Linked DNA regions of Ovis aries. The protein of the gene in region 4 interacts with the protein of the main gene of each other region in a biochemical or structural test. Links are inferred from orthologs where the notes say so. Each region holds a gene or a part of one and is shown on either strand. Other genes may lie near its edges.

Region 1 (4,018 bases), on a different chromosome or scaffold from region 4:
TTCCCTCAAACAGAAATACGGCCATCTTTCCCTGACACTTTCCCTCTGACGATTGACAACTTTCCTGCTTTTAACTAATTTGAAGGCTGTGAGGAGTGTGGGCAGCAGATTTAGAGGTGTACCTCTGATTTAGTAAGTTGGAAGGGGGAGGAAGACGAGACAGTTAAAATAACTCAGGAAAAAGATGACTAGAGTGAAGCCTTTTTTTTTTTTTTTTTTTAATTACTTTCCTGGAGAAGCAGGGAGTGAGATACTCAGAGCCCAAAGAACACACTTTAACGAAGAGGTAATGAGGTAACTGAGAGACCATAAATAAAGTGTTCCCTAACTCTGCAGATCAGGGACTGAAGAGATGACGGGATAAGTGGCAGGATGTGGATACGCCCGTACTGTACCAGTCCAGAGAACAGAGAGAACCGAGTGGAGGACGCAGGGGCAGAGGCACACGGACCGGAGCCCCCAGCCTCCAGCCCAGGGGGCTAGAAAGGGAGTGGGGGATGGCTAATCAGTCCCATATATTCACTTTGCTGTGACCGCTGAAGAGAGGTTAAAAATTTGTGACAAGTTCTCTTTTCCTTCCCACACAGCCGGGATTTTTTATGGGGGGAGCGGGGAGGAGCAGGGGGTTGTTTGTTGATTTTTGAGAGATGCGGGGCAAGAGAAGGACAAAGCGGATCTTCCTCAACAGTAACGACTGCACTCCCTGTCCTCCGCCCCATCCTCAAGTATTCTTGGAGCTCTGGGATTGTTTTTCACACGACTTGCGATTTGTGAGCCGGGAATAAACAGTCACCTCTAAATTAATTACATTGGCTGAGGTTAGGCATGGAATTCCATCATAAGCACATTTTCCTTTTACCTCAAAATAATAGCTACCACTCCAAAAGCATCCACACCCGCCCTTCGAAGACCACTGGCCTCGGATAGATTTTGGGGTCAGTGAAGCATTCCTTCCTTGGGCACACGGGAAGCCGCCCCATAGCCCCTCCGCCCCCTCCTCCCAGCCCCGCAGCGATGCACAACAACCGTTTTCCCCGCCAGGAGCACACTGTGTCCACGCGCTGCTGCGACCTCGCTGATTGGTAGGGCTCCTGGTAAACAAGGAGCGGGCAGCCAATGGGAGAGCTGTGCACGAGGGGAGCACGAGCCTCCAGGCCAGCGTTCGCGTGGACCTGCCTGCCGGGCTACTATATAAACCAGTTTCCGGCTCTCAGTTGCAAACTATCGTTTCGTTTTCTGAGGTGGAACGCGTTAAGCCTTCCCGCCGAGATCCGGAGCTGTCCTCCAGCTGTTAGAAAGAAAGAGCTTATTTTTCTTTTGCAATCTCTTGATACAACTCGCGGCTTACATTTTTGGGTGGACGTGTTTTCGAAAATTCAGTAGAGAACTGAAAAGTGAAAAAGTTTTAACTTACAGCAAAAGGTCCTTTGATTGAGAGTTTTGTTTTGTCCTCATTTTTAACTCTTAAGCAGACCCAGCCCAACATGGTGATGTTCAAGAAGATCAAGTCTTTCGAGGTAGTTTTTAACGACCCCGAAAAGGTGTACGGCAGTGGGGAGAAGGTGGCTGGCCGGGTGATAGTGGAAGTGTGTGAAGTCACTCGAGTCAAAGCTGTCAGGATCCTGGCTTGCGGAGTGGCCAAAGTCCTGTGGATGCAGGGATCCCAGCAGTGCAAGCAGACGTTGGACTACTTACGCTACGAAGACACGCTTCTCCTGGACGACCAACCAGCTGGTAAGTGACCCAACTGTTTGCTGGAGGGTGAGAGCGGATTCAAGAAGAGAATTGATACGGATAAAGCCCACACTGTAGATCCTAAATTGCTCGGGTTGTGGGGTTTGAATTTTGTGTGGCTTCTTTATCTTTTTTAGCTTTAACTTGCTAACCCCTACCCCCACCCCCAAAAAAGGGTGATTTGTGCAACTTCTCAGGGTGCTGTGTTCTGTGGGTGATTCTGAGGGATGTTGACATAGCTATTGAAAGGTTTTTATGTCTTAATAAATTGCTTGTTCTTTGCTTGCTTCTTGTTTGAGATGATGATAGGTTGAGTCTTTCAGCACTGCAGGGCTTTGCAACTTTTTGCTCAGCGAATGCATCAGAATCTCATTTAAGAACATAAGGGGTTCTGCATTACTCTTGCACGCTGCCCAAGAATTCCTTATTGCATAGAGGCATTTTAAGTATAACAAGAAACCTAGAAGCTTCTCCTTTTTCTCTTCCTTCAGGTGAGAATGAGATGGTGATCATGAGACCTGGAAACAAATATGAATACAAGTTCGGCTTTGAGCTTCCTCAGGGGTAGGTAACTAAATGCATCTGTGATCTTATCTGTCTGTAAAAATCTTTCCCTCTTTTGATCAGTTACTCTTCTTGGAGAGCATTTTAAAATTGTTTCCTTTTTCTTGATAAAGGCCTCTGGGAACATCTTTCAAAGGAAAATATGGGTGTGTGGACTATTGGGTGAAGGCTTTTCTTGATCGTCCCAGCCAGCCAACTCAAGAGACAAAGAAAAACTTTGAAGTGATGGATCTAGTGGATGTCAATACTCCTGATTTACTGGTGAGATTCATTTTAAAAGTCTCTTCTTCTGGGTTTCAGAGATAAGTAGTTAGGTTTTTAGGGCATTAAAGTGAAGCCCGTCAGGGAATCAAGTCCTTAAGTCATCAAGGTGGGAGAGAAAACTACCTACTTTAAGCAGTGGAAAGAGAAGCAGAGAAAGGATCTCTAGAAATTCTCAAAACGTCTTTTTCCACTTCATTCTATATAGGAACCTGTGTCAGCTAAAAAGGAGAAGAAAGTTTCCTGCATGTTCATACCTGATGGGCGGGTGTCTGTCTCTGCACGAATTGACAGAAAAGGATTCTGTGAAGGTAAAAATCTAGTGCAGAAAATGAGAGACCCTTAAAACAGGAACTGTGGGTTTGGGAGTAAGGGCAGGAGGCAGGGACAGATTAAAAGTCATGGATTGCACTGAGCATCAGTTTTCATCTTTCTCATTGCCAGGTGATGAGATTAACATCCATGCTGATTTTGAGAATACGTGTTCCCGCATTGTGATCCCCAAAGCTGCCATTGTGGCCCGCCACACTTATCTTGCCAATGGCCAGACCAAGGTGCTGACGCAGAAGTTATCATCAGTCAGAGGCAATCATATTATCTCCGGAACCTGTGCATCATGGCGTGGCAAGAGCCTTCGAGTGCAGAAGATCAGGCCTTCTATCTTGGGCTGCAATATCCTGCGAGTTGAATACTCCTTACTGGTGAGTGGGTGGATGGGGTTGGAGAAAGAAATTGTTCATTGGTCTAAACGATAGTGGTGTTTCTCCAGATTTCTAGCCTAACAAACTGATGTCTTCCTTTCTAGATCTACGTTAGCGTCCCTGGCTCCAAGAAAGTCATTCTTGACCTGCCCCTGGTTATTGGCAGCAGGTCAGGCCTCAGCAGCCGGACGTCCAGCATGGCCAGCCAAACCAGCTCCGAGATGAGTTGGGTAGACCTGAACATCCCAGATACCCCAGAAGGTGAGCCAGACACCTGATCTCATTTTTTTCCCTCTGGCCTGGGTGGGTTTGTAAAATTGTGGTTAGGCTTTTCTTGGCTGGGCTTCTTATCTCCATGCTTTCTCTCTCTAGCTCCTCCTTGCTATATGGATAGCATTGCTGAAGATCACCGGTTGGAGAGCCCCACTACTCCTCTGCTAGATGACACAGATGGTTCTCAAGACAGCCCTATTTTTATGTATGCTCCTGAGTTCAGGTTCATGCCACCACCTACTTACTCTGAGGTGAGAATTGTCATTTACCACTACATTTGTCCTAAGCCTTTTATAGGAAGTTAATTTCTTGGGATTGCCAGACTGGATTGTTGTGTTTTTTCTTACCCAAACTAAAATACTCTTTCTTTTCTTCCTCCCAGGTTGATCCCTGCATCCTGAACAACAATGTGCAGTGAGCATGTGGAAGAAAAGAAGCAGTTATACCTACCTGTTTCTTTTCATCTCTCTTCCTGGACTCTTTGA
Region 2 (3,040 bases), on a different chromosome or scaffold from region 4:
ATAATCATCTTAGCAATGTTTTCTATATTACTTTTCAATTTAAATGGGGATCTTGGGTTGTAAAAATAAAATGAGAAAACAGCACATACAAATTCTTAATAAATGTTTATTGAATCTTTAAGTATACAAATCCTAGTGATCTGATAGCCTTGCATGGATCTTACACGCACACATGTGCGTGTGCTCAGTCGCAAGGTCATGTCTGACTTTTTGTGACCCGTGGACTACAGACCACCAGGCTCCTCTGTCCACGGGATTTTTCAGGCAAGAATATTGGAGTGGGTTGCCATTTCCTTCTCCAGGGGATCTTCCTGACCCAGGGATCGAACCCAAGTCTCCTGCATTGGCAGGCGGGTTCTTTACCTATGAGCCATCTGGGAAACCTCACCTTACACATACTAGGTACAAACCATTCTAATGTCAGGGTGAATGCACTTTAACACTTTTAACACTTTCAAGTTTAATTTCACTGACTCTGAAATAATAAAATAAAAATTCCATTTGACTTTATATTTACACTTTTATTAGAATTCTTTAGAACTGTGAACAATTGGACAACATATCAGGAAAAAACACATAGAACATCAACATCCTTTAAACTTGCACCGCTTACATATTTACACATAAAGTTACTGTATATATAAAAAATATTTTCAAGGACTCATGGGCTTGGGAATATATTCAAAAGACATTATTGCTACATTTCAATATTTACAAAAAAAAAATGCCACAAAATAATTTCAAACATTAAGCTACTGCAAAGAAACATCAGATGTAAAAAAAAAAAATTATAAAAATATAAACTTTCAAGAATATCCAAGACAAAACTCTCAGTGAAGTGCCCCTGAAGTACCTAGACATCTACAATTAACAACCACTTTTCTTACTATAACCAAAGTCAATAGAAACGCAAAGGAAATTTTCAGACAAAGTGTGGCAAACAGCAAAAACGTCTTACATTAGCAACAAAACGCCCCAACCTGTTACCTTTGGAAAGGTGCGAGAGCATAGAACTCCAGTGCAAATGGTTACTTTCAGATAAATGGCCACAGTTCTCTAAATGAAAGCAGAGAGACCTAGGAGGGGAAAACCACGAGGGCAGCATACCTGAATCTTGCGAGACAACACACAAACCCTGCCATGTACCCATGGACTCTTATAATTGGGTAGAGGCAAAACAAAACAAAAAAACAGGTAACACTAAGAATAATATCCAGGCTACAGCCTAAAGGGTAGAATTGAAATGTTTCAGTAGGAGAGTAGCATTAATAAGGTCTAAGGAACAGGTACAGTATGTTGAGTGTAAGTAACAGAGTGCCTTAAGTGCAGGTGGATTGCAAATAAATATGGACTTAAGCACGCCTCTATGTAAGCTTTTGGTAAGCTTCTCTACACAGCAAGGTGAAGTGAAACAAAAGCTGGGCTGCTGCTGAAAGCCAGGCTACTTCTTGGGTGCTGAAGGACCCTCCTGGGCTCAAGGCAAGACTACTCCCACAATATTTTGTCTACAAGCATACATACACACGCACACATACACACTTATATAGATACTGGCCAGGTGTCCAGGACATGCCTGTGATGGAGGCTGAATCTAAAGTTTATTTTTGGCTACAGAAGAATCCAAACTAAGATAGCACTGGTTGTCACTCCTGCCAGAGTCATGCAATAAATCACTTTTGCAAAAGGCATCAAATCCACTGAACACGATGACATTCTGAAGCTGGTCGGCTTGTTCTGGACAATCTCTAGAGCAAGTTCATCGGCTACAAAAGGAGATTTTTGTTAAGACTGTGCTTGGCAATAATTTTTTTTTTAAAGCACTGTTTCCTTCAAACTTGTTCTGGCTCATCAGTTATTCCTATACACAGCAGACTCAAGCCAGAATTGTATTCAGAAACTACACCTTGTGGGTTCCCCCCCCTCAATATGTGAATGTGTACAATTTATAGATGAGTATATACAAAATGTGGGCTGGGAGGCCATCTCTCCAATTCAGCTACTATTAGTGAATTTGACTTAGAAACCAGGTCAGAAGCACAAAGGCTCATGCCCAGCAGTCTTTATTCAGGAGCAGAGAGCATTTTTCCATGGCCTATGTCTTACTCCCAGCATGAAATACTAGATTTCTTGAGCCCAGATATTCATAGGCTTCTGGCCTTTGAATAACATTCTATTTCCCACATCAAAGGATAAGGTTTCAGCTTCTAGCCTTGCTGCATCATCATACCATCATGGGTGATTATGAGGAATGAAGGTGACTACTGCTATGTACTCAAAACTATCAACTACATTTTTCGGATAGAAGTTGGAGAAACCTTGGGAAGGACTCAGTGTGTCCAGTCCATCCCACCCACCCTTTCTCCAAGTCTGAAGTTTCCTCGTTAGCAGGGGCTAGTGTGCTATTAGGAACATAGGCAGCTCGATGGTAGCTGATGACAAAAATCATCGGCCACTAAAGGGTGCTCATAAAGACAGGGTGTCCACTACCCTTGAGTAGGATTCGAGTCGAAGGAAAACAAAGGAACCATTGTAAAAACCAAAAGAGAGGGGGGCCGGGGTTGTTCAGGAGACCCCTGGATGCAGACTCTGCTTCAGACATCTTCGTGGACAAGCAGAGGCTGCGTGGAGGAGGCGCTGCTGCCCACAGAGTTGATGCGCACAGAATGGTCCACCGCGGGGTTCTCCCGGTGGGGGCTGCAGTTTGCTAAGTTGGAATAAATCTGAGGAAAATAAATCCACAGTCAATACGCCAGTCCCCCACAAGGAACAAAGGGGCACATGTGCAGCTTAGGAACTGCAAATAACTTAGGAAGATTCTTACAGCCAGGAGGTTGACAAGACCTTACAGCCAAGAACTGAACCACACTGACCAAGGATAAGCTTTGTTTTATCCCTCATTTTCCCATGGTCTGATTACATAAGAAGTGATAGTCCAAAATGTGCTTTTCTGCTGGGATGCATCTAGGAATGAGAACGACCTAACTTTTTTTAAAAGGTGCATAAATTTCTATAGCCAATTCCCATCTAATGGCTGATGTCA
Region 3 (4,075 bases), on a different chromosome or scaffold from region 4:
CTCTGTGCGACCCTACAGACGGCAGCCCACCAGGCTCCCCCATCCCTGGGATTCTCCAGGCAAGAATACCAGAGTGGGTTGCCATTTCCTTCTCCAATGCATGAAAGTGAAAAGTGAAAGTGAAGTCGCTCAGTCATGTCTGACTCCCAACGACCCCATGGACTGAAGCCCACCAGGCTCCTCCATCCATGGGGTTTTCCAGGCAAGAGTACTGGAGTGGGGTGCCATTGCCTTCTCCATAGAGGTTTCTTAAGGAGTAAATGAGATGATCAGTATAAAGCTCTTAGACAACAGAGAAGCCTAACTTTACTGTTTGTTTGACTATATTTATTTTTTTAATGAGTACAATCTTATCTATTTGGCTGTGTCAGGTCTTAGTTACAGCACTCAGCCTCTCTGACTGTGGCACTCGAGCTCAGAAGTTGCAACGCATCGGCTTAGTAGCCCCGTAGGATGTGGGATCTCAATTCCCAGATCAGAGATGGAAATCTCGTCCCCTGCATTGCAAGGCAGATTCTTAACCATTGGAACACCAGGGAAGTCCCTGGGTTATATTTATTTTTATCAAGTTTATTGATATGATGAATTTCGGTGGACCATGATAGTGCAGCTTCGTCATGATTTGGGCTCTATGCAACGTGTCAGGTCCATGGATGAACTTTTTTCTTTTTCCACTTGAGACTTTATATCTGATTTGTTATGTAATCTTTGATAAACTATGATCCTTTGAGGGGGGCCTCGATAAGGTACTCCCAGTAACGTTTACTAACAGCCCTAAGAAGAACTTCCTCCAGTTTCCTTTGCTGTCTTTGCTGCGGTCTGCAGGCTTCCTGCCCGAGCTGAAAGTTCCACATGCAGAAATGCCCCAGACATGTCAGCTTTTCTGAAAGAGCCCCCATCCTTCTGGGCATGACAGTTCTCAGGCCAGGATGGATAAGACACTGGTGGGAAACGTCAAAACCAAAACCTCTGATTCCCCTTAGCAGAAATTCTCGCATTGAGAGTTATGCCACCAGAGATTAAACTGGTGGGGTGCTTTTCCACACTCTCCTTTAGTGAGAGAAATTGCCACCAATATTGCCATATGAAGTCACTGAGTGCTGTCTTTGTTGGAAGGGTGGGTGCCTAAGAAGTAACTTTTACTGTTGGAAGGAAATAAAGTCCTTTTACAAACGGAGGACTAACTTTGCATTTTTCTTTTACAAACTGAGGACTAAGATGATTTGCTTCCAGACAGTGGCAGCAGATAGGGAGGAAGTGGGGGTGACGGCAGCCAAGCCCTGGGCTCTGTTCAGACCCCCAGTGGTGTGGGGCTAGGCACGACTGACCACAACAGGCTGGGAACCTGGGGAGCCCAAGCAAGGAGCCCCTGGAGCGAGTTAATACTGGTGATTGGGTGATGTTTCGGAAGAACCTGCACCCAGGCAGGGGTGTGTCTTCCCCATGGAGAGGGCACCTATCCACGAGAACGAAGAGACCGTCAGGGTCAACCCTTCAGGCAACAAAAGCCAGTAACCTGGGAATTCCCTGGCGGTCCAGTGGTTAGGACTCTGCACGTGCACTGCAGAGGATGCAGGTTCGTTCTCTGCTCAGGGAACTAAGATCCCACAAGTTGCGCAGCTTAGCCAAAAAAAAAAAAACAAAAAAACACACACACACAAATAAGAAAAGAAAAAAAGAACCAGTAACCCAAGGGGCCCAGGCCAATCACAGCCCCAACCACTCAGGAACCCCTCACCCCCTTCCCACTCTCCACTTCATGCTGATGACAACAGAACATGCATCCACTTGGCAGAGTCAGGAGAATTCTGGATTGGGTGCAAGTGAATCACAAGCCACTTCGGGGCTGTAATCTAGACACGCTGAGGCTGCTGGGGCCCTGGAGAAAATCCAGAGTCCCAGGTTTCATCCCCAGGAAGCCTGGAGCAGGGCCTAGAAGCCAGCGTTTAACACAGTCAGGCATTTCTGCTGCCACGTTTCTGTGTCTCTCTCTAGACAGTCAAGGTTGCTCCCCAAGACTAAAACAAACTTTCCACTAACTTCCTTCTGACCCAGGCTGAATCCAAAAGGAGATGATCACGTAGGTTTGCATAAAGACAGTGTTGTTGTTTAGTTGCTAAGTAATGTCCGATCCTTTTGTGACCCCCATGGACTATATAGCCTGCCAGGCTACTCTGTCCCTGGATTTTCCAGGCAAGAATACTGTAGTGGGTTGCCATTTCCTTCTCCAGGCGATCTTTCCCACCCAGAGATCAAACCCGGGTCTCCTGCATTGGCAGGTGGGTTCTTTACCGATGAGCCACCAGGGAAGCCCATAGTAGCAACATTTTTTCTTTTACTCACAGTCCACTTCCCTGCCAGCCTGAATTAGAAGTAACCTGCCATATCCCTCTCTGCCTACAAGTGCTCACAGAGGAGCACAGGGTCACACCAACCAGTCATCCCACATCAGGCTAGTCCACACAACTCCAATTTCTTTAAATTCGTCGAAAAAGAGGAAGTTCTCTCTGTGATTCGCTGGTGGGAGGCAGGGAGGCCATCAAGACTCCTTTGCCCTCCTCCCCGATTTCATTCAAGAGAATGTGGGGCTATTTAAACAAGCTGTTCTTTGGGGCATTTTTCTTTCTGTCACATCCGAGGCTCACTTACCATTTTGAAGCTTGAATCTCCAAACCAAAACGTCATGTGGAAAAATAGTTTTCTTGTGTTCCTTTTCTCTCTTTCAGTTCAAAAGGCTGCACTGGATTGTGAAAGACTGAGAAAACCAAATGGTAAGTTTCATTTACTTCTCTGTTGTATTAAAGCCACTTTCACCGAAACGGTGAGACCGTCAGCTTCAGTCATGCGCTGTCGCGAGCAGGGTTTTCTGTGCTTTTTGTTGAGCAGCCAAAGAGGAGAGTTTTTCCACTTTGTACTGTTTAAAATGAAGTGATATTAGGGAGGGAGTCAGAGAATCTTTCCTGAAACTAAGAAACAAAATGTTGAGATTGTTTTTTAAAAAAAAACAATGAAACGGTTCTTTCTTTTTCTGTTGTTTTTTAATTAGAAAATCAATACACTATCGTTGTAAAATAATTCAGGCGACACTAAAAACATATCCTGGGAGACAGTTTATCATCATAGAGCCAGGTTGTTGTGGTCCTAACCTTGTTTCTACCCTTTTCCACCTGGTAGTCTGGGCGCATGACGAAAACCACTTTAAGCTTAATTTCTATCCTCTGTGAAGCGGGGGAAATAAAGGCACCTCCCTGGGAGTGCTGTTGTGAAGACTGAGACAAGCCCTGTCCCTCAGCACAGAGCCGAGTGCATGGGGGAGCCATCAGTAAATGCCAGCCCAGGTCGTTGTTGTTATTATACTGTAAATGGTGAATGTTCTGCTATAAACAGATCCCCTCAGTCCCTCTCCCATCTCTGTGTCCAGGAGCAAACACTAGTAACAGTCCTTTTCGCTCCAATATCAAAGCAAACAAACTCTTCTGTGGCCTGTTCTTTTTAAAATTAACACGTCCCAGACATCTTTCTAAGAGGAAGTTGTAGGTTTCGCTCCCTTCTTCTCAACAGTTGCATGGCATTTCACAATAGGACTTAGTCATAATTCATCGAACCATCATTCCCGTATTGGTTGTTCCATTTTATTCCTTATAGAAACAATACTGCCGTAAACATCCTCTGTGGACACATGAGCGTGTGAGAGTTCACGTAGGATAAAATCCTAGAAGTGAAATGGCTGGGTCGAAGGCCATGTCCGTTTGAATTGTTACAGCTGATGCTAAGTTGCCCTCCTAACACACTGAACTGGTGCATGTTCACCAACGCTGATCACGGACATGGGTTGAGTGTGAGTTTCTCACCCTCTCTCTGGCAGTGGATACAATCAATTTTTTAAATTTGTGTCAGTCTCATGAGTACAGAAATAATATCTGAATGTTGTTTGAGTCCGCGGTTGCCTCATCACTCATAAAGCTGTGCTTCTTTCTCATGTTTGTTGACTATGGAAGCCCTAGCATGCCCATATAAAGGACATTTAGGGATGGCAATCTGGCTGGAAAGAGAGGTGAGGTCTTATCTTGAATCT
Region 4 (4,144 bases):
GAAGGAAACGGCAACCCACTCCAGTACTCTTGCCTGGAAAATTCCATGGGTGGAGGAGCCTGGTAGGCTACAGTCCATGGGTGGCAAAGAGTCAGACACAACTGAGCAACTTCACTACTAGACTGCTCCTTGACTCAAATATCATCCTTAGTGAAGCTTTCCCTAAATACCCCCATTTAAAGTAATATAAAGGGCAATGGAGAAAAGAAGGGAGATGAGTATTGGGGGTATTATCTCAATTGTTTTATTTATTATCGATTACTGTAGCTCCTCCCATGAGAATATCGGGGATTTTTGTCTTTTCAGTTCACTTTTATCTCTATAGTGGAAAATCAGTGCCTAGCAGACAGAAAACGCTCACGTTTCCTTCTAATGATAATAGAGCTAATAATGACACACAAAAAAAGTGAAAAAGTCAAAGTGTTAGTTGCTCAGTTGTGTCCAACTCTTTGTGACTCCATGGACGATAGCATCACAGGCTTCTCTATGGAATTCTACTGGCAAGAATACTGGATTGGGTAGCTATTCCCTTCTCCAAGGGATACTCCCGACCTAGGGATTGAACTGGGATTTCCTGCATTGCAGGCAGATTCTTTACCATCTGAGCCACCAGGGAAGCCCCAATAACTACAGGAGAGAGTGAGTAAAAGTCGCTCAGTCGTGTCCGACTCTTTGCAACCCCATGGACTATACAATTCTTGGCATTCTCCTGGCCAGAATACTGGAGTGGGTAGCCTTTCCCTTCTTCAGGGGATCTTCCCGACCCAAGTATCGAACCAGGGTCTCCTGCACTGCAGGCGGATTTTTTACCGAGAACTTATTAAACAGACCAGGCCTAGTTCTAAACATTTTACATATTTAATCGTCCTCATAATCCTAAGAAGAAAATACAATTACTATTCTTTTTACAGAAATCAAGGATGGAGGCTCAGAGAAATCAACTTTCCTAAGGTTCAGTTCAGTCGCTCAGTCGTGTCCGACTCTTTGCGATCCCAACCTCTTTCCTAAGGTTACACAGCAGTAAGTGGAACAACTATTTGAGGAATGAAATGAATGAAATTCGACTTCACAGCGCAGGGATGGAAATTGACGCTGTGGGAGCAGCTAGAATCAATTCACGCGACTGCGTGTAACTTTGAGCACACAACGCACGGTTTAACGCCAGGATCTAAAGGAGAATGAGAAGGTCCTTTGGGAACAGCGCGGCAGAGGCTCCACAGATCCACTGAACTGCCATGACCAGCCTCAGCGCAGAATGGAAGCAGGAAGTAGCGGCGGGCGTCGCGTGGGAGTGACGTCACGGAGGAGCCGGCGGGGAAGGGCGGGGGAGGAGGAGGAGGAGGAGGAGGAGCGAACCGGGCTTGGGGGGCGGCTGCACAGTCTCCGGGCTCCTCAGGCCTTGAGGGGGGTCTGCGCGCGGCCGGCTGGCTCTGCCCGCCCCCCCCACGTCCGGTCCGGAGCGGGCCTCCCTCGGGCCAGCCCGATGTGACCGGGCCCAGTGGAGCCTGAGTAAGGAGCCGGTTCGTCGCGGAGCCGGAGGGCGGGAGGAACATGACATCGCGGAGGTGAGGAGCCCCGAGGGCCTAGCCCGGGCCTCGGCCCGGCCCCCGCCGCTTTCAGTCAGCTCCGCCCGGGAGGGGGCGGCTCGGCTGGGCTTCGGACTCCTGCCCGGGGTCGCGGGGCAGGCTCCGTTCCAGCCCCCTAAGCCCTCCAGGGCCCCGGGGCCCGGCCCTAGCGCGCCCCCAACCCCTCGGGTCCTCATTCATTTCCTGCCTCCACGGAGTTCCGGCTCCCGCAGCCCTGGGGATGCCCGTCAGGACGGGGACAGGTAGAGCCGCCCGGGGAACCGCGGACGCTAGCGGCTCGGCTCGGCGCGCCGCATTCCTGACCCATTGCCTCATGAGAATTGCCTCATGGTGATTCCGAAATAACCCCGCTCACTTAGGGGAGGCTCCTCGGCCCGGGACGCGGGAGGGGAGAGGAGAGAGTTGCGCGAGGCCAGGCCGATAGTCGAGCCTTTTTGGGTCACTCTGCGTTTTGCGCGCATTTGGGGGCTTTACTCAGGGTCCTTGACCACTTTGTATGCCTCTTTGCATCTTCTTCTCCCCCCCCCCCCCACCCCTCACGTGCCAGAAATGGAAAAACTGACTATATCTGCAGCTATTAGAAGTATTTCCTTCCTCTGCGATCTTCGCTTTGGGAGGTGGGAGGGAAGGGATCGTATCTCTAGTTATTTTAATCCTTCACCACAACCTTAAAAGTCAGGTAACATTAATTACCTCCGTTTTACGGATGTGGAAACTGAGGCTCAGAAGAAACATACTGGTAAATGACAGGGTTTGAACCTAGAAGTCAGAAGGAAGATGAGTGAGTTAATGAGATCCTTGGAAAGTAGTATAGTAGACTATACTACTAATTGCTAACATTTATTTAGCTCTTACCGTATGCCAAACACATTTAATCCTTATAACCCTATCAGGTAGGTACTGTTATCCCGCTCTAAAGAGAGTAAATGAATTTCAGAAGTTAAGCAACTTGCCTAGTAGTTCTAGTGCTAGTGTTGGTCGCTCAGTCGTGTCCGACTCTTGCCTAAGGTCACTCAATCAGTAAGTGGTGGAGACAGAACCCCACTGTTAATTGCTATTATAACTATTGCCAATCATTTGTAAGCCTTAATTTTGTTGTTAAATATTAGTATGATTGATTGTTTTCAGATAATGATCCTGCTATTGTATTGTCATTCTGTATAGAATTCACACTGTCTTAGACATTTGGAAAACTGTTTCAAGCTGTTGGGGTTATTGACTGAGAAACTTCAAAACATTAGGAATGTCTTCTCAGAAATACACCTGCACATTATTCATTGATGGGATGAAAAGAGTGAAAGGAGAAAACTGAAAACTCAAGCAGTGAGTGATTTGGACAGGTCTTCTGGCAAGTGCTTACAGATCTGGGTAATATATAATTGCATTTCAGCAGAACAGCGTATAGCCTCAGATGTTCTAATTCTTTAGAGAGCGTTTAAATAAAACAGTTTTCTATTCTTTAATCTGTCAAATAGTCATTGAGCCTTTTGTTCCTTGTGTCTGCTTTTCCAGACAAGTAAGGATCTGCTTCTTTTAGGAGACAAAAAGTCTGGGGACTGGGGGTGGGGTAGGGGCTGGGTAGTAATAGACCCTACATTGTCCAGCTTGTTAATTTAGAAGCCAGGAAGTGTGAGAAGAGCCAAAGCAGCAAGTGGTAAAGATGACAGTTTGAAATGAAGTAATTCCTCCTCTCCTCTTCCGGCTCTCCCATACTTGTTTTGGAAGAGAAATATGTGCCCCCTAAGAAGTCAGATTATGATTGTAATGCACACACACACACACACACAAATGATTGTAATGCACGACTTCCCAGGTGGCTCAGTGGTTAAGAATTCACCTGCCAATGCAGAAGACTCAGATTGGATCCCTGGGTGGAGAAGATTCCTTGGAGAAGGAAATGGCAACCCTGTCCAGTATTCTTGCCTGGGAAATCCTATGGACAGAGGCGCCTGGCTGTCTGCAGTCCATGGAGTTGCAAAAGAGTCAGAGATGATTTAGCAACTAAATAACAACAACAACAGTGCACACAGTTGGGGATTATTTATTATTAGTTTTCAGATCATAGGTCTTTTATTATTTTTAAACCAGCTTTATTGAGGTATAAGTGACATGCCACAAATTCCATATATTTAAGCATACAATTTGATAAGTTTCCACACTTATACACTCAAGAAACCAGCAATACAATCAAGATAATGAATATATCCGTCACTCCTGTGATGGCTCCCGGAACCCTTTATAATCCCTTCCTTGTTGCCAGGCAGACACTCTTCTGCTTTCTGTCACTATATGTTAGTTTGCATTTCCTAGGATTTTATACAAGTGGACTTTTGTGTGTGGCTTCTTATGCTCAGCAGAATTATATTGAGGTTCATCTATGTTGTTGTGTATGGTAAATAGTTCCTTTTTATTGATCAGTGATATTCCACTGTATGCCTGTACCACCCTTCATTTTTCCATCCAGTTGTTGGTAGACATTTGGGTGGTTTCAGAGTTTGAAGTCAGGTGAAGTCGCTCAGTCGTGTCCAACTCTTTGCGACCCCATGGACTGTAGCCTA
Region 5 (4,216 bases), on a different chromosome or scaffold from region 4:
AGTATATAAATCCTAGTGAAACCTTTCAGAGAATAATAATGTGGAGGGGGTTAGAATTGTGAAGAGACTGTGGACTGGAAAAAGAAGAAGGAAAATGAGAAGTCGGGAAAACTTTGGATGAACAAAGCAAGGGTAGAATGACTGTGAACATCAGACTATTAAATTTTTACTTTTGAAACTACATTTGTAAACTTGGATAATAACTATGCATAAGTGGTATTTGGTTGCAATAAAAACTACAAAGTCAGTTACATATTTGTCTTGTGTGGTGAGATGAAGAGTCAGGCCAGGAGTCAGACAACATAATGTTGTGTCTGGTCTTTGACACTGACCATCTCTATGCTCTAGTCATCTCATCTGTCTGTGTCAGCTTCTACATCTGTAAAGTGGGCAGAATGCCAGTTATGCCTATTTCAGATGAACTTGCACAAATCGGATTTGAGTATACATGAAAACACTTTGTATGCTGTTAAATGCTATGAAGCATAAGATAAGTACAGACTTTTTCTGTGCTTTCTACCAGCTCACAAAGACGTTTCTTTCTCTTTGTCATTGTTCAATCACTCAGTCACATCCAACTCTTTGTAACCCCATGGACTGCAACATGCCAGACTTCCCTGTCCTTCACTATCTCTTGGAGTTTGCTCAAACTCATGTCCATTCAGTCGATGGTGCCATCCAACTATCTCGCCCTCTCTTGCCCCCTTCTTCTCCTGCCCTCAATCTTTCCCAGCATTTCAGGGTCTTTTCCAATGAGTCGGCTCTTCACATCAGGTGGCCAAAGTATTGGAGCTTCAGTTCAGCCTCAGTCCTTCCAATGAATATTCAGGACTGATTTCCATTACGATTGACTGGTTTGCTTTCCTTGCTGTCCAAGGGACTCTCGAGAGTCTTCTCCAGCACCACAGTTCGAAAGCATCACCCAACCATCCAGCAGGATGATTCCACTCCTCATGTTGGACTTGTCGCATCATTCCACCCACTACCTACAACTGATTGGATCAGGATTGAACACCGAATCCTAGATGGACCCATTAGATTCTCTCTTCTGAGAATTTAGAATTGGGACCAAGATTATCCAATTAGAAATGGTCATCTGAACAGAAATATCAACTCTGGAGTACTAGGTTGGCCATAGGCTGCCTGCTGAGAGTATGGAGAAGTAGAGAGTCTTTCTCTTGTCTAGAGAGAGAATAAGGCTGATAGGAAGGGAGAAACTGTGATGAGAAGGCACAGGTTAATACTTCTGATAGCTGCACAGCTCTGGGATCTTCCTGCTGAGGCCTGACTATTTTATTGCTTCTGTAAAACACTCCTGTGTCCTACAGATAAAATCCTTTTTTTTTTTTAACATATTATGGCTCAAGCATTTTTCTGTAATTTGCAACTAAAGAATCTTAGCTAAAGCAACACAGTGGATTTAATAGCTTCCCCCTCCAAAAAACATCATACCTACCCAGAACTTCAGAACGTGTCCTTATACGGAAATAGGATCTTTGAAGATATAATTAATTAAGATGAGGTTTTTGGGCTAGATAATAGTGGTGACTGGGGTTTTCATGAGAATACAATAGGACACAAGAAATATACACAGAGAAATCCATGTTGAAATGACGGCGGGCAGAGGCTAGAGTTACGCTGCCACAGGCCAAGGAATGCCTGAGATCACCAAAAGTTTGAAGAAACAGAAATTCTTCCTGAGATCCTTCAAAGGGAGTATAGTCCTGCTGATACCTTGATTTCAGACTTCTGGCCTCCAGAACGGTGAGAGAATAAATGTTTTTTCTAATTTATTTGTTTTTTAATTGAAGGATAATTGCTTTACAGAATTCTGTTGTTCTCTGTCAAACCTCGACATGAGGGAACTCAAACAGGGGTCTGTATCAACCTAGAGGGGTGGGATGGGGAGGGAGATGGGAGGGAAGTTCAAGAGGGAGGGGACATATGTATACCTATGGCTGATTCATGTCGAGAATAAATTCATGTTGGTTTAAAGCCACTCAGTTTATGCTGCTTTTTACAGCAGTCCCAGAAAACTGGTACAAGTATTATAGGATGGGATGTTCAAGCTCTGTTATAGAAAGGTCCAGGCTCTACACTAAGAAGAAACCCTTGAATCTCGTAAGTGCCTTTTAAGCCCACAGCCCCTTTCTGAGAAATAGGCCATTTGCAGTTTGTTCTGCATAAAGCTGTTCTATTTCTTGCCAGGTGAAACAAACCCTACTACTCCGGCTACACTTGGTTGGAGCCAAAGTCCCATGGGAATGGGCTAGCCAGAAGGAGGCCAAAAAGAGCTTGGTGTCACTGTGTATTGGACAGTGACAAATGGACTCAACCAGGAAACGTAAATACTAAATGAACAGTAGGCAACAATCCAATCCATGCTGAGCCTTTGTTTTATTTCTCCATGAGCCTATAGATCATCCCTGTCTGGGAAGCTCTGTGACCAGGAATGGCTGCCCCGGTGACAGGGGGCTCCTCATGCTGCTCTATGAGTCCCAGCTCTAAACCTCCATCATCAGAGACCATTCGGGCATGCTTCCTGTTTCAACCTGTCTTAGTCTGCTCAGGCTGCCATGACAAAAAGCTATAGACTATGATCTCAACATCAAAAATTTATCTCTCACAATTCTGGAGGCTGGGAAAGCCAAGATCAAGGTGTGGACCCATTAAATTCCTAATGAGGGCCCTCTTCCTGGCTTGCACATGACCACCTCCTTTGCTCTGTTCTCACAAAGACTTTCTTTGGTGGGTGCACACAGAAAGAGAGAGAGAGTTCTATCCTTCTTTTTTTCTTTTTAAAATTTTATTTATTTATCTTTGGCTGTGCTGGGTCTTCGTTGCTGCACAGGCTTTTTTCTAGTTGTGGTAAGTGAGGGCTACCCCCTAGTTGTGGTGCCCGGGATTCTCACTGAGGTGGCCTCTCTTGTTGCAGAGCAAAGGCTCTAGAGCAAGGCTTAGTCGCTGTGCACACCCTTAGCTGCTCTGTGGCATGTAGGATTCTCCCCTATCAGGGATCAAACCTGTGTCCCCTGCATTGGCAGGCAGATTCTTTACCACTGAGCCAGCAGGGAAGCCCCTCTATCCCTCTCATTATGCTGCTGTTTTTTAGTTACTAAGTCGTGTCTGACTCTTTGTGACCCCATGAACCCCATGTGACCCCACTAGGCTCCTCTGTCCATGGCATTTCTCAGACAAGAATACTGGAGTGGGTTGTCATTTCCTTCTCCAGGGGATCTTCCCTGGAGAATCTTCCCAACCCAGAGATGGAACGTTTCCTGCATTGGCAGGTGGATTCTTTACCACTGAGCCACCTGGGAAGCCCTCTTCTTATAAGACCACCAATTCTGTTAGATTAGGACCCCAACCTATGACCTCATTTAACCTTAATTATCTCCTAAAAGCCCTATCTCCAAGTATAATCACATGGGAGCCTAGGGCTTCAACATATGGATGGCAATAAAGACTAAGCCTACAGTACTCAAGAATGAATATGATGATCACGAAGATTTAATATTCATTTTGGGGGATGGGAGTGCAAATTAAAAATTTGTCCCCAATTTTGCCACTATTTCTCCTCCTTCACTCCTTGGTGATGTCACATAAAATCCCCAGTTCCCTGAGGTCTCCCTTTCAGAATGTCTGCTGGAGAGCATGTTTCATGGTATTGGCCCAGTCCTGCTAGAAGGCAAAAATGTGTTCTTGAAGTATACACACAGAGTCACTGATTTTTCTCCTTATTGTTTTGTTAGAGTCTTTTTACCAAACAGCTGGTTCATTCTTGACTCCAATGCAAAAGTTACACTGAAAGACAATCTAGGATTATTTCTGTCACCTTGCCAAGTCACAAAGTGCTTCTAAATTATAAATTATTATACATACATGTATATGTACATATACACATTTAAGAATATATATTTATATTATACATATATTTATAGATATATTTTATGTGTATTACACACACACATATATGTATGTCAATTATACTTCCTATGTATCTGATATTGTACTAAGTGATTTACATATTTCAACAGATTTTATCCTTACAACAATTTCAGGCTGTATTACTATTTTATAGTCCAGAAAATAAAAGCACAAAGAGGTTAAATAAGTTTCCTAGGCCCATACGGCTGCTACTAATGCTAGGACTTGACCCACACAGACTGGTTTCAGAGTTCATGCCCTTAACTACTATACTTTGCAGCCAAATTGA
Region 6 (4,244 bases), on a different chromosome or scaffold from region 4:
CCGTTTCATAGGCGAGGGGACCTGGGCTGGGGAAGGTGATGGACTCGTAGAAGGTACAGCAGCTGGGCAACCAGTCTAGATTTGAACCCAGATCAGTCCAGCTTAAGGCCTTGCTCATTCCTGGTCTCCCAGGTACTGTACTGTACCCTGAGGCCCTTGCCTCCCACAGTCTTGAGTTTCCCTCCCTGCTCCTCTCAGGAGAAGTCCAGGCTTCTACCATTTGACCTGGACTGGGCTTTACTTTCCCATCTGTGAAATGGGAAAACTTTCAGAGAAGGAAAACAGAGGCAGATGGTGGCATTTAAAGCTGGATTCAGGCCCACCTTCCCCTGTGCAGTAATCCCAGGAGGACCTGTGAAAAGCCAAAGGCAGGACTAGCACATGTGCTCAGTTGCGTTTGACTCTTTGCAATCCCATGAACTGAAACCTGCCACCAGGCTCCTCTGTTCGTGGAATTTTCCAGGCAAGAATACTGGAGTGGGTTGCCATTCCCTTCTCTAGGGGATCTTCCCGAGCCAGGGATCGAACCCACGTCTCCTGCCCTGGCAGGCAGGTTCTTTACCACTGACTATAATTGCCACTGAATACCTGCTTTGGCCCCTCCTAAGGGGCTTACTCAGAGAAGGCAATGGCACCCCACTCCAGTACTCTTGCCTGGAAAATCCCATGGGCGGAGGAGCCTGGTAGGCTGCAGCCCAAGGGGTCGCTAAGAGTCGGACACAACTGAGTGACTTCACTTTCACTTTTCCCTTTCATGCATTGGAGAAGGAAATGGCAACCCACTCCAGTGTTCTCGCCTGGAGAGTCCCAGTGATGGTGGTGGAGCCTGGTGGGCTGCCGTCTGTGGGGTCGCACAGAGTCGGACACGACTGAAGCAACCTAGCAGCAGCAGCAGCAAGGGGCTTACTGGAAGCCCTTTATAAGTTCCTTATCTGGAACTTATTGGCTTCTTAGTTACTTTTTTTTTTTCTTCTGATGCACTTTAAAATGAATGCATAGCTATTAAGATAAAAATGCTGCTCCTTACCACACTGTCCTGCCTGTCTCAGTCCCCAGTTTGGGAAATTCAGGTTAAGGCCAGGGTCCAAGACCTGGCTTTTGTCAGGTGAGTCCCTTCTCTGTGCCTCAGTTTCTTCATCTGTAAAATGGGGGTGATCATTGGCCTGCCCAGCCCACTTGGTTGGTAGGAATAGATCCTAAAGTTGACCTGAACAGCTTAGCATGGCACCGGGTAAGGAATGAGTTCTCCATCAGTGCTGCTGTTACTGATTATCAGTAATAATTTCATGAGAGGTAGACTTGGGGTCAGTTGGGTGGGTGGGTTGGGAGGAGTTGGGGAGGGTATTTTGGCTTGAGAGCTGATGGGTGGGTGCCCCATGGGAAGGGAGCACTCTCAGGGCGGGGTAGGGGGCGGGGCTTCCGTGGCCGGAGCCCCCGCCCTTCCATTCCCTGGCCGCCGGGACCCCGGGCGTGGGGAGGCCGCGCGCGGGACTCTCCCAGGTCACCGGCGGGGACCCGTCCCGGCACGCTTCCTTCTTCCTCCCCCTCCCGGCGGCCTGCCGGGCCCCTCCTCCCTGCTCGCGCGCTCCCTCCCTCCTCTTCCCCTCCCCGGGCCGCCGCCTCCTCCTCCTCCTCCGCCTCCCTTTCTCTCTCGATCTGTCTCTCCTGGCCCGGAATCCATTCCGGCCCGGGAGCCGGAGCGGCCAGGCCGCCGTGTGCCCGAACCCCTGGCCGTCCGGCGGTCCGTCCTCCAGTGCGTCTGTCTGCCCGGTGCGTCCGTCTGCCTGCCGGTCCAGGTGAGCGCCCCCCGCCCCTCCGCCGGCCCCGGCTCCCGGCCCGCGTGAGGGAGCCCCCCGCCCGGGGACCACCCTGGCGTCCGATCGCTGGGCCGCGGGGGCTCCTGCCCCCCTCCAAACCTCACCCCTCGAGCCAAGCGGCGATCCCGGGGCGCAGGGCGGGCGCACCGGGACTTGTCTGGCGCGGCCTTTTGTTGTGATGCCGCGGGGGGGGGGGAGGGGTTTGGTGGGGGGCGTAGGGGTCTTGTCCTCGCGAGGACCCCCCCCTCCCGCTCATGCTCCCTCTGCGGGCCCCCTGAGAGCAGCGAGCCGGGCCCGAGCCCCCAGGCCAGGTCTAGGCCAAATCTGAAATCTGAACCAGTCGGCGCCGCCTCTGGCCGCCGCTACCCAGCCTGGCGCCCCCAGCCCGGGATGGGAGGTGGAGAAGGGCCGGCAGGGTGGGCCTGGGGGGGCGCCGGGCAGGGGGTGCCGGGCCAGAACACCAGGATCTCCTTGTCCTCGTGGGGCCTTGGGTAGGGCCTGGTGCTGCCGGCCTGGAAAGGACTGGGCCAAACTGTGGTTGGTCCCAGCTGCCCACAGCCCCCAGCCTCCTCTCTGGGCAGGCCCTACCTCCGGTCTGCTCAGAAGTTGGCAAAAGTTTAAGATTTGGCCCCCAGGCCGGGTCCATCTGCCTGCCTGGGCTGGGGTTGGTGGTGGGTTTGAGTCCCAGTGGGGGCTCCGCTTTCCTGCCCTGCTGTGCTTCCTTGAGCAACTGCCTGCCCTCTCTGAGCTGGGGGCCCTTGTCAGGTCCAGCTGTGGGCCTGGCTGAGCCTACTGGGCTGGTGGAAGGACTGGGTGAACAGAAGGGGCTCACCTGTGGGGTAGCAGTTCAACCTCTGGGGCCTTCAGGCGGACTTGAGAGTCGGCAGAGCCTGTGGGGCCCTGGGTGAGGTGTCCCCGGCTTCAGGGACTCTGTCCAGTTGGGGCAGTGGTCTCTGGATCACCTGGGGTGACTCCAGGCCTGGCTTCAGTCAGCTGAGATCAGACTTGATTTTAAGAATGGAGCAGGCTGACGCTGTTGCTGACCCTCATCTTGGCTTTCTGGCTGGAGAGACAAGACCTCGGCTTCTGGTCACACTGGGCTACCTGGGCCAAAGGACCGCCCCTCTGAGTCTGCTTGTGTGCGGTGGGGATCCCCAGGGGAAACCTGTAGGCACTTCTGCAGGTAGGGCCTTGGCATGTAGTAGGTGTTCAATAAATGAGCATGGCACTGGATGAATGGCCTGAAAAAGATGGGCATGAGATGAGATGGCTGGCTCTTGTGGGGCTTATTCCAGAAGAGGGTGGATCGGTGTCCCCAAAGCCACCTCCTAACCCCTTGAGGAGGAACCAGCCTCAGTGCAGTCTTGCCACCCAGCACTTGAGACAACTCGCTTCTCCTTCTGGCCTCAGGTTTGTTCAGTATAAAATGGGCTTGTGAGAATGATAGCTGCTAACATCTATCGAGTACCTCCTAGGAGGTAGGGACTTTTGTGTATCCCCTTTTTGCTGGGGAAGAAACTGAGGCTCTGAGAGCGGAAGTGACTTGACCGAGCCACATAGTTTGAAGCTGGAATGAGAGCCTAGAGCTCAGAGTGCCCGGTCGGGCTGTCCTTGTTCCCTTCCCGTGATGGAGGAATGGGTGTTTCTCAGTATGGGACCAGGCACACGACAGTGTTGGAAGAGACTCGGATGAGTGATTGTGTGGATGCCACGAGGCCCTTTGGGTGAGGTGGTGTGCTGTGGTGATGTGGTCTTTCCACCCAAGGAAATGATTTACAGTGTGTCACCTCTCAGCTGACTGCCTGCCTAGGCCCTCCTGTGTGACTCCAGGGCCTTTGCTCCTGAGGGTTTCCCTGCCGGGAGTGCCCTCTCCTCTAAGAGCTGCTTGTCTGCTTTTGCTCTTTAAGGCTTCGTTTAAGGCCCACCTCTTCCAGGAAGGCCTCCCAGCTTTCTCCTCCTCTCCCCTAGCCTCTTCCCAGGCGTGAAGTATCCCCAGTGCATAGCCAGTTCCTGCTTTGGCTTCTACCCTGATTGTGACCTGACCTGGGAGTGGTGGGGTGGTGGGTGGGGGGAGGTTGTCTGGCTCCCTCAAACCCCAGGAGCCAGGAAGGAGACGGCTCAGTGGCCTGTGACCAACCACCCATTCCCTGAACCTCAACTGACCCCATTTTCCCAAACCTGCCGAGATACAAGCATCCATGGCCCTGTGTTGAGTACCTATGATGTTCTACGGGCTTTGATCTTGAGCTGAGCAGTGTGTGATGGGTTAGCAGTGGGAGCTGTAGGAGACCTTGGGAGGCTTCCAGGAGGTGGTGACAGGGGCGGGGGGCGGGGAGCAACATTTTCCTCAACAAAGAAGGGGACACAGTACTCTTTTCTTCCTTTCAGCTCAGACATGTCCCAGGGCCCCTGGGGGAGGCTCTGGGA
Region 7 (3,500 bases), on a different chromosome or scaffold from region 4:
GATAAATGTCAGAAACGTTAGATTGAATGAAAGGAGCCAGGCATGGAAGAGTACATTCTTGTGTGATTCCATATATAGAATTCCTAGAAGTCACCTGTGATGATGGAAAGCAGAGTTGTGTGGTTACCTGTTGGGGAAGAAGTGTAGAGATTACTGAAGGGTGCAGGAGGAAATTTCTCTGGTCTGTTGCACGTGTTCTGTATCTTGGTGGGTGTGGTGGTTACCTTGTGGAAAGGCGTATTTGGTGACACTCCTTGATGGATTGAATCACCTATCTTTATCTAGCCGCATCAGCTCCATTTCAAGTGATCTTTGATTTATAGTAAAATTTCCCTTTTCTTAGCATTTGAGAAATCAAGGATTAGTGTGGTTGTGTATGGAACCATTGGGAATGCTAAGTGTCACACTAACACACGCAGATTGCGTCTGAATGTGAGATTCACACACAGCGACTTCTCACGTAAGTGAGCTTTACTTCTGTTTGGCGTGCAAAGGAAAGACCCATATTCTGTATATGCAGATTGAGTTTATTTTTAAAATAATGTTTTTGGTTTAAAACTGTCATTTTAAAAGTAATTTCAAAGTACAGTTTCTTTTCTCATTTAAGATTGTTGTGGAATCATTTTGTCTCCTGTTTTTTAAAAGATTTGTTCCATCAGATGAAAAGAAGAAGCAAGGCTGCCAACGAGAAAATGAAACTCTAATTCAGAGAAGAAAAGACCAGATGCAACCGGGGGGCACTGCCATTAGTGTCACAGTTCCTTACAGAGTAGTCGACCAGCCCCTTAAGCTCATGCCTCAGGACTGGTGAGTTAACTGACGCTTTTGCATAGTCCTTCATTTGTTGTGTAATTAACAGATAGCAAATTTTATCATGAATTCGAGATACTGAATTCTATCCTTAAAACCTGTGTTAGTATCTGATTTAGTCCTCAATAATATTAACGTTCTAGTATTAAGTAAATATAATTTGGACGTCTATAACAAGAAGCACAAACTTGTGGAAAACAGTGAAAAGTTTTCCCACTTGTCCACTTATTCTGGATCAGCTTTTGGAACAAAACTTTCAAGTAGACTAATGTTTTAGAGAGCCTATATTTTAGATTTTTGGTTTGGAGAATTCTAATTTTCCTTGGTAAAGAAATGGTAAGTGAAAGCATTGTTACTTTCATTGTGAGGGGATAATTTAATGAAAATAATAACCTCATCATCCCAGTTCAGCTCTTTTATTGAATTAAAATATCCTTTAATAAAATATTGAGCTATTTATAATATAAAGTGCCTATATATTCAGATACATGAATTACCTTAAATTATTTCATTAATCTAAGCCAGAATAAAAATACATAGTCCGAGTGTGCATTTCTCTGATACAGAGAGTGTAACACATTGACTCATTACCCGAAATTTACCTTTGACGTACTCATTAGTCTTCAGATATTAGAAAATCAAGCCAGTGAGAATACTAGTATGTTAAAGACTTTGGTGAAGACTCAAGGGCTGTCGTATTGGAATTCTGTCCTAGTACCTAGCAGAGACACTTTGAGTTACATATGCAGTGTAAGACGAGCATTTCAGGTTGTCTAAACTTTGCAGGAAGTGGAAAGGCGTGCCATGTGTACATTTGCACAGATTTGCAGGGCGCAGTCATGCAGGGCGCAAGTGCCGGCACTGTGCATTGCGCTGCCTTTGTATATTAGCTTGGGCCCTGGCCATCAGTGTCAGCCTAGGGAAGGATTTTCCTTACCTTTCTTCTTCTCTTCTCGTTAATTGTCCTAAAGGGGAATTCACCGGGAGTCGTATTTTTATTATCCTGCTTCCCTGCTGACCCTGTGAGACACAGAAGGATCTGGGTGACCTCTGTCTGACAAATTCCCTTTTGTTTGGCAGGCACCTTTGTCCTTCAACTAGTGTGTGCTGCAAGTTACATCATAAAATTGAGAGGCTATTTAATAGTGTGCTCCATTCCCAAAGATGGTTTAGGTAGTGTGGAGCATATATCCTATGAAATTTTTAATTTAAGATTTAATTTTAACCATAAGAGCTTTTGAGCTGTTAAGAATTTTAAGCTGTGGCTTTTCACAGTAACTATGTTGTTGTAGGTCTTTAACTTGAAGGTAACCTTGGCTTAATACTCTCTTGGATGCGTAATCTAATGCAGTGATTATCACAGTATGGTCTGTGGTCCTCTGGGCATTCCCAGGGCCCTTTAAGGGAGTCATGAGGTCAAAACTGTTTTCCAGTATAACAGTGAGTTGGCTGTTGTCATGATTTATCAGTCCCCATATAGGACGGTAGCATGACCAGTCATTGGTTCTCCCCTCTCTCTGTTCACACCCTCCTTTTCTCCACGCTCTTGCTCCCTCCCCGCTTCCTGCCTCCTGGTCTCCAACATACTCTGCTGTTCTATAAAATAGGGGTAATAGGTTACCTCACAGGATTATTTTGAAGTTTAAATGTATAGACGTGAGTAGGCTGTGTAGACCAGCACTGGCACATAGTGAATGCTTGTAGTAAATCTTACAATGTTGGTTATTATTGTTAATGTTACTATTTTGTTTCCATTTCTTTAGTTGTAGGCTTAAACTGTTTATGGTAGTTGTTTTTATTGTAATTTCTCAAGTTAATTAATATTTTGTAAAGAAATGTAAGGCCCCAGAAAGAGATTTGTGCTTTTTTCGGAAAAGGAAGTTAAATGTCTGGGAAAAACTAGTTGCTTTAGTGCGCGCGCACACACCACACCAAGTAGAGAATTCAGAGTGAGTGAAATAGTTGTAAAACAATTGAAAAAGTTTAGGTGGTTTCTATACTCAGGTTATTTTCCAGATAATCAGAACTCAAACTAAGGTGTTGGAGCTTTAGTGAGTAGTGAATTCAAAATAGTGAAATACTGTAATTTATGATATTTTTAATTAAACATTTAAGATGTGTTTGAATTGTAAATGATTTTAAAACTAACTTTTTCAATTAACAGATACACTATTGTTCCCTATTACATTAGAAAAATAGGCCCACTAATTAACAGATCGGGCAGAGATAAAAGGCTGAAAGGATCTCATGTAAGGACTGTGCATGTAATTATGTTTAAATGACTTAGGTGTTAAAAACAATATATGGGGAGTATAGCAGTCGTTAACACACTCTATTGCTGTAACATAAAGAAAATGGTGGACGTGCAGCACTGTGTTTCCCCTCACAGACGTGTGGACAGGAGACTCCACTGCAGGAGTGATGGTGAGACTCTTTCCCTAAGGGTTGTAGTAACTGAGAATGCCTGAGCCACTCAGTTTCCGCTCTCCCCTTCCTCTTCTCCACTAACAGGGACCGGGTTGTAGCAGTTTTTGTGCAGGGTCCTGCGTGGCAGTTCAAAGGTTGGCCTTGGCTTTTGCCTGATGGATCACCAGTTGACATATTTGCTAAAAGTAAGATTCTCTTTATTTTTACTGCCTATCTAATGTAGAAATGTTTTTGCTCTATTATTTAAGAGAAAGAGCCATCTA

The links.
Region 1: the proteins of PTPN11 (region 4) and TXNIP are reported together in a solved structure, tested with the Homo sapiens proteins (2 studies listed by BioGRID, with this or other methods). The link is inferred for Ovis aries from reciprocal best matches to the Homo sapiens genes PTPN11 and TXNIP.
Region 2: the proteins of PTPN11 (region 4) and KIT form a complex in vitro, tested with the Homo sapiens proteins (3 studies listed by BioGRID and IntAct, with this or other methods). The link is inferred for Ovis aries from reciprocal best matches to the Homo sapiens genes PTPN11 and KIT.
Region 3: the proteins of PTPN11 (region 4) and PECAM1 form a complex in vitro, tested with the Homo sapiens proteins (4 studies listed by BioGRID, with this or other methods). The link is inferred for Ovis aries from reciprocal best matches to the Homo sapiens genes PTPN11 and PECAM1.
Region 5: the proteins of PTPN11 (region 4) and FRS2 interact in a test that uses a peptide from one of them, tested with the Homo sapiens proteins (2 studies listed by BioGRID, with this or other methods). The link is inferred for Ovis aries from reciprocal best matches to the Homo sapiens genes PTPN11 and FRS2.
Region 6: of the proteins of PTPN11 (region 4) and SRC, one has a biochemical effect on the other in vitro, tested with the Homo sapiens proteins (2 studies listed by BioGRID and IntAct). The link is inferred for Ovis aries from reciprocal best matches to the Homo sapiens genes PTPN11 and SRC.
Region 7: of the proteins of PTPN11 (region 4) and CDC73, one has a biochemical effect on the other in vitro, tested with the Homo sapiens proteins (2 studies listed by BioGRID and IntAct). The link is inferred for Ovis aries from reciprocal best matches to the Homo sapiens genes PTPN11 and CDC73.

Annotation. Positions count from the first base shown.
Region 1 is NC_056054.1:99,309,471-99,313,488, reverse strand, and holds the start of TXNIP (thioredoxin-interacting protein), read left to right. Parts: upstream 1-1,218; 5' UTR 1,219-1,484; coding exon 1,485-1,734; intron 1,735-2,225; coding exon 2,226-2,298; intron 2,299-2,411; coding exon 2,412-2,559; intron 2,560-2,767; coding exon 2,768-2,870; intron 2,871-3,003; coding exon 3,004-3,260; intron 3,261-3,364; coding exon 3,365-3,521; intron 3,522-3,632; coding exon 3,633-3,838; 3' UTR 3,839-3,915; coding exon of another isoform or gene 3,916-3,951; 3' UTR 3,952-4,018. UniProt on the Homo sapiens protein: May act as an oxidative stress mediator by inhibiting thioredoxin activity or by limiting its bioavailability.
Region 2 is NC_056059.1:70,945,231-70,948,270, reverse strand, and holds the end of KIT (mast/stem cell growth factor receptor Kit), read right to left. Parts: intron 2,721-3,040; coding exon 2,592-2,720; 3' UTR 501-2,591; downstream 1-500. UniProt on the Homo sapiens protein: Tyrosine-protein kinase that acts as a cell-surface receptor for the cytokine KITLG/SCF and plays an essential role in the regulation of cell survival and proliferation, hematopoiesis, stem cell maintenance, gametogenesis, mast cell development, migration and function, and in melanogenesis.
Region 3 is NC_056064.1:48,348,768-48,352,842, forward strand, and holds the start of PECAM1 (platelet endothelial cell adhesion molecule), read right to left. Parts: upstream 2,801-4,075; 5' UTR 2,772-2,800; coding exon of another isoform or gene 2,684-2,771; 5' UTR 2,650-2,683; exon of another isoform or gene 2,571-2,649; intron 1-2,570. Other genes in the region: MILR1 (allergin-1), read left to right, coding at 2,684-2,771. UniProt on the Homo sapiens protein: Cell adhesion molecule which is required for leukocyte transendothelial migration (TEM) under most inflammatory conditions.
Region 4 is NC_056070.1:61,963,578-61,967,721, reverse strand, and holds the start of PTPN11 (tyrosine-protein phosphatase non-receptor type 11), read left to right. Parts: upstream 1-1,344; 5' UTR 1,345-1,551; coding exon 1,552-1,565; intron 1,566-4,144. UniProt on the Homo sapiens protein: Acts downstream of various receptor and cytoplasmic protein tyrosine kinases to participate in the signal transduction from the cell surface to the nucleus. Positively regulates MAPK signal transduction pathway. Dephosphorylates GAB1, ARHGAP35 and EGFR.
Region 5 is NC_056056.1:150,335,485-150,339,700, reverse strand, and holds the start of FRS2 (fibroblast growth factor receptor substrate 2), read left to right. Parts: upstream 1-1,416; 5' UTR 1,417-1,764; intron 1,765-4,216. UniProt on the Homo sapiens protein: Adapter protein that links activated FGR and NGF receptors to downstream signaling pathways.
Region 6 is NC_056066.1:66,271,750-66,275,993, forward strand, and holds the start of SRC (proto-oncogene tyrosine-protein kinase Src), read left to right. Parts: upstream 1-1,444; 5' UTR 1,445-1,796; intron 1,797-4,244. UniProt on the Homo sapiens protein: Non-receptor protein tyrosine kinase which is activated following engagement of many different classes of cellular receptors including immune response receptors, integrins and other adhesion receptors, receptor protein tyrosine kinases, G protein-coupled receptors as well as cytokine receptors.
Region 7 is NC_056065.1:11,241,798-11,245,297, reverse strand, and holds part of CDC73 (parafibromin), read left to right. Parts: intron 1-645; coding exon 646-807; intron 808-3,321; coding exon 3,322-3,422; intron 3,423-3,500.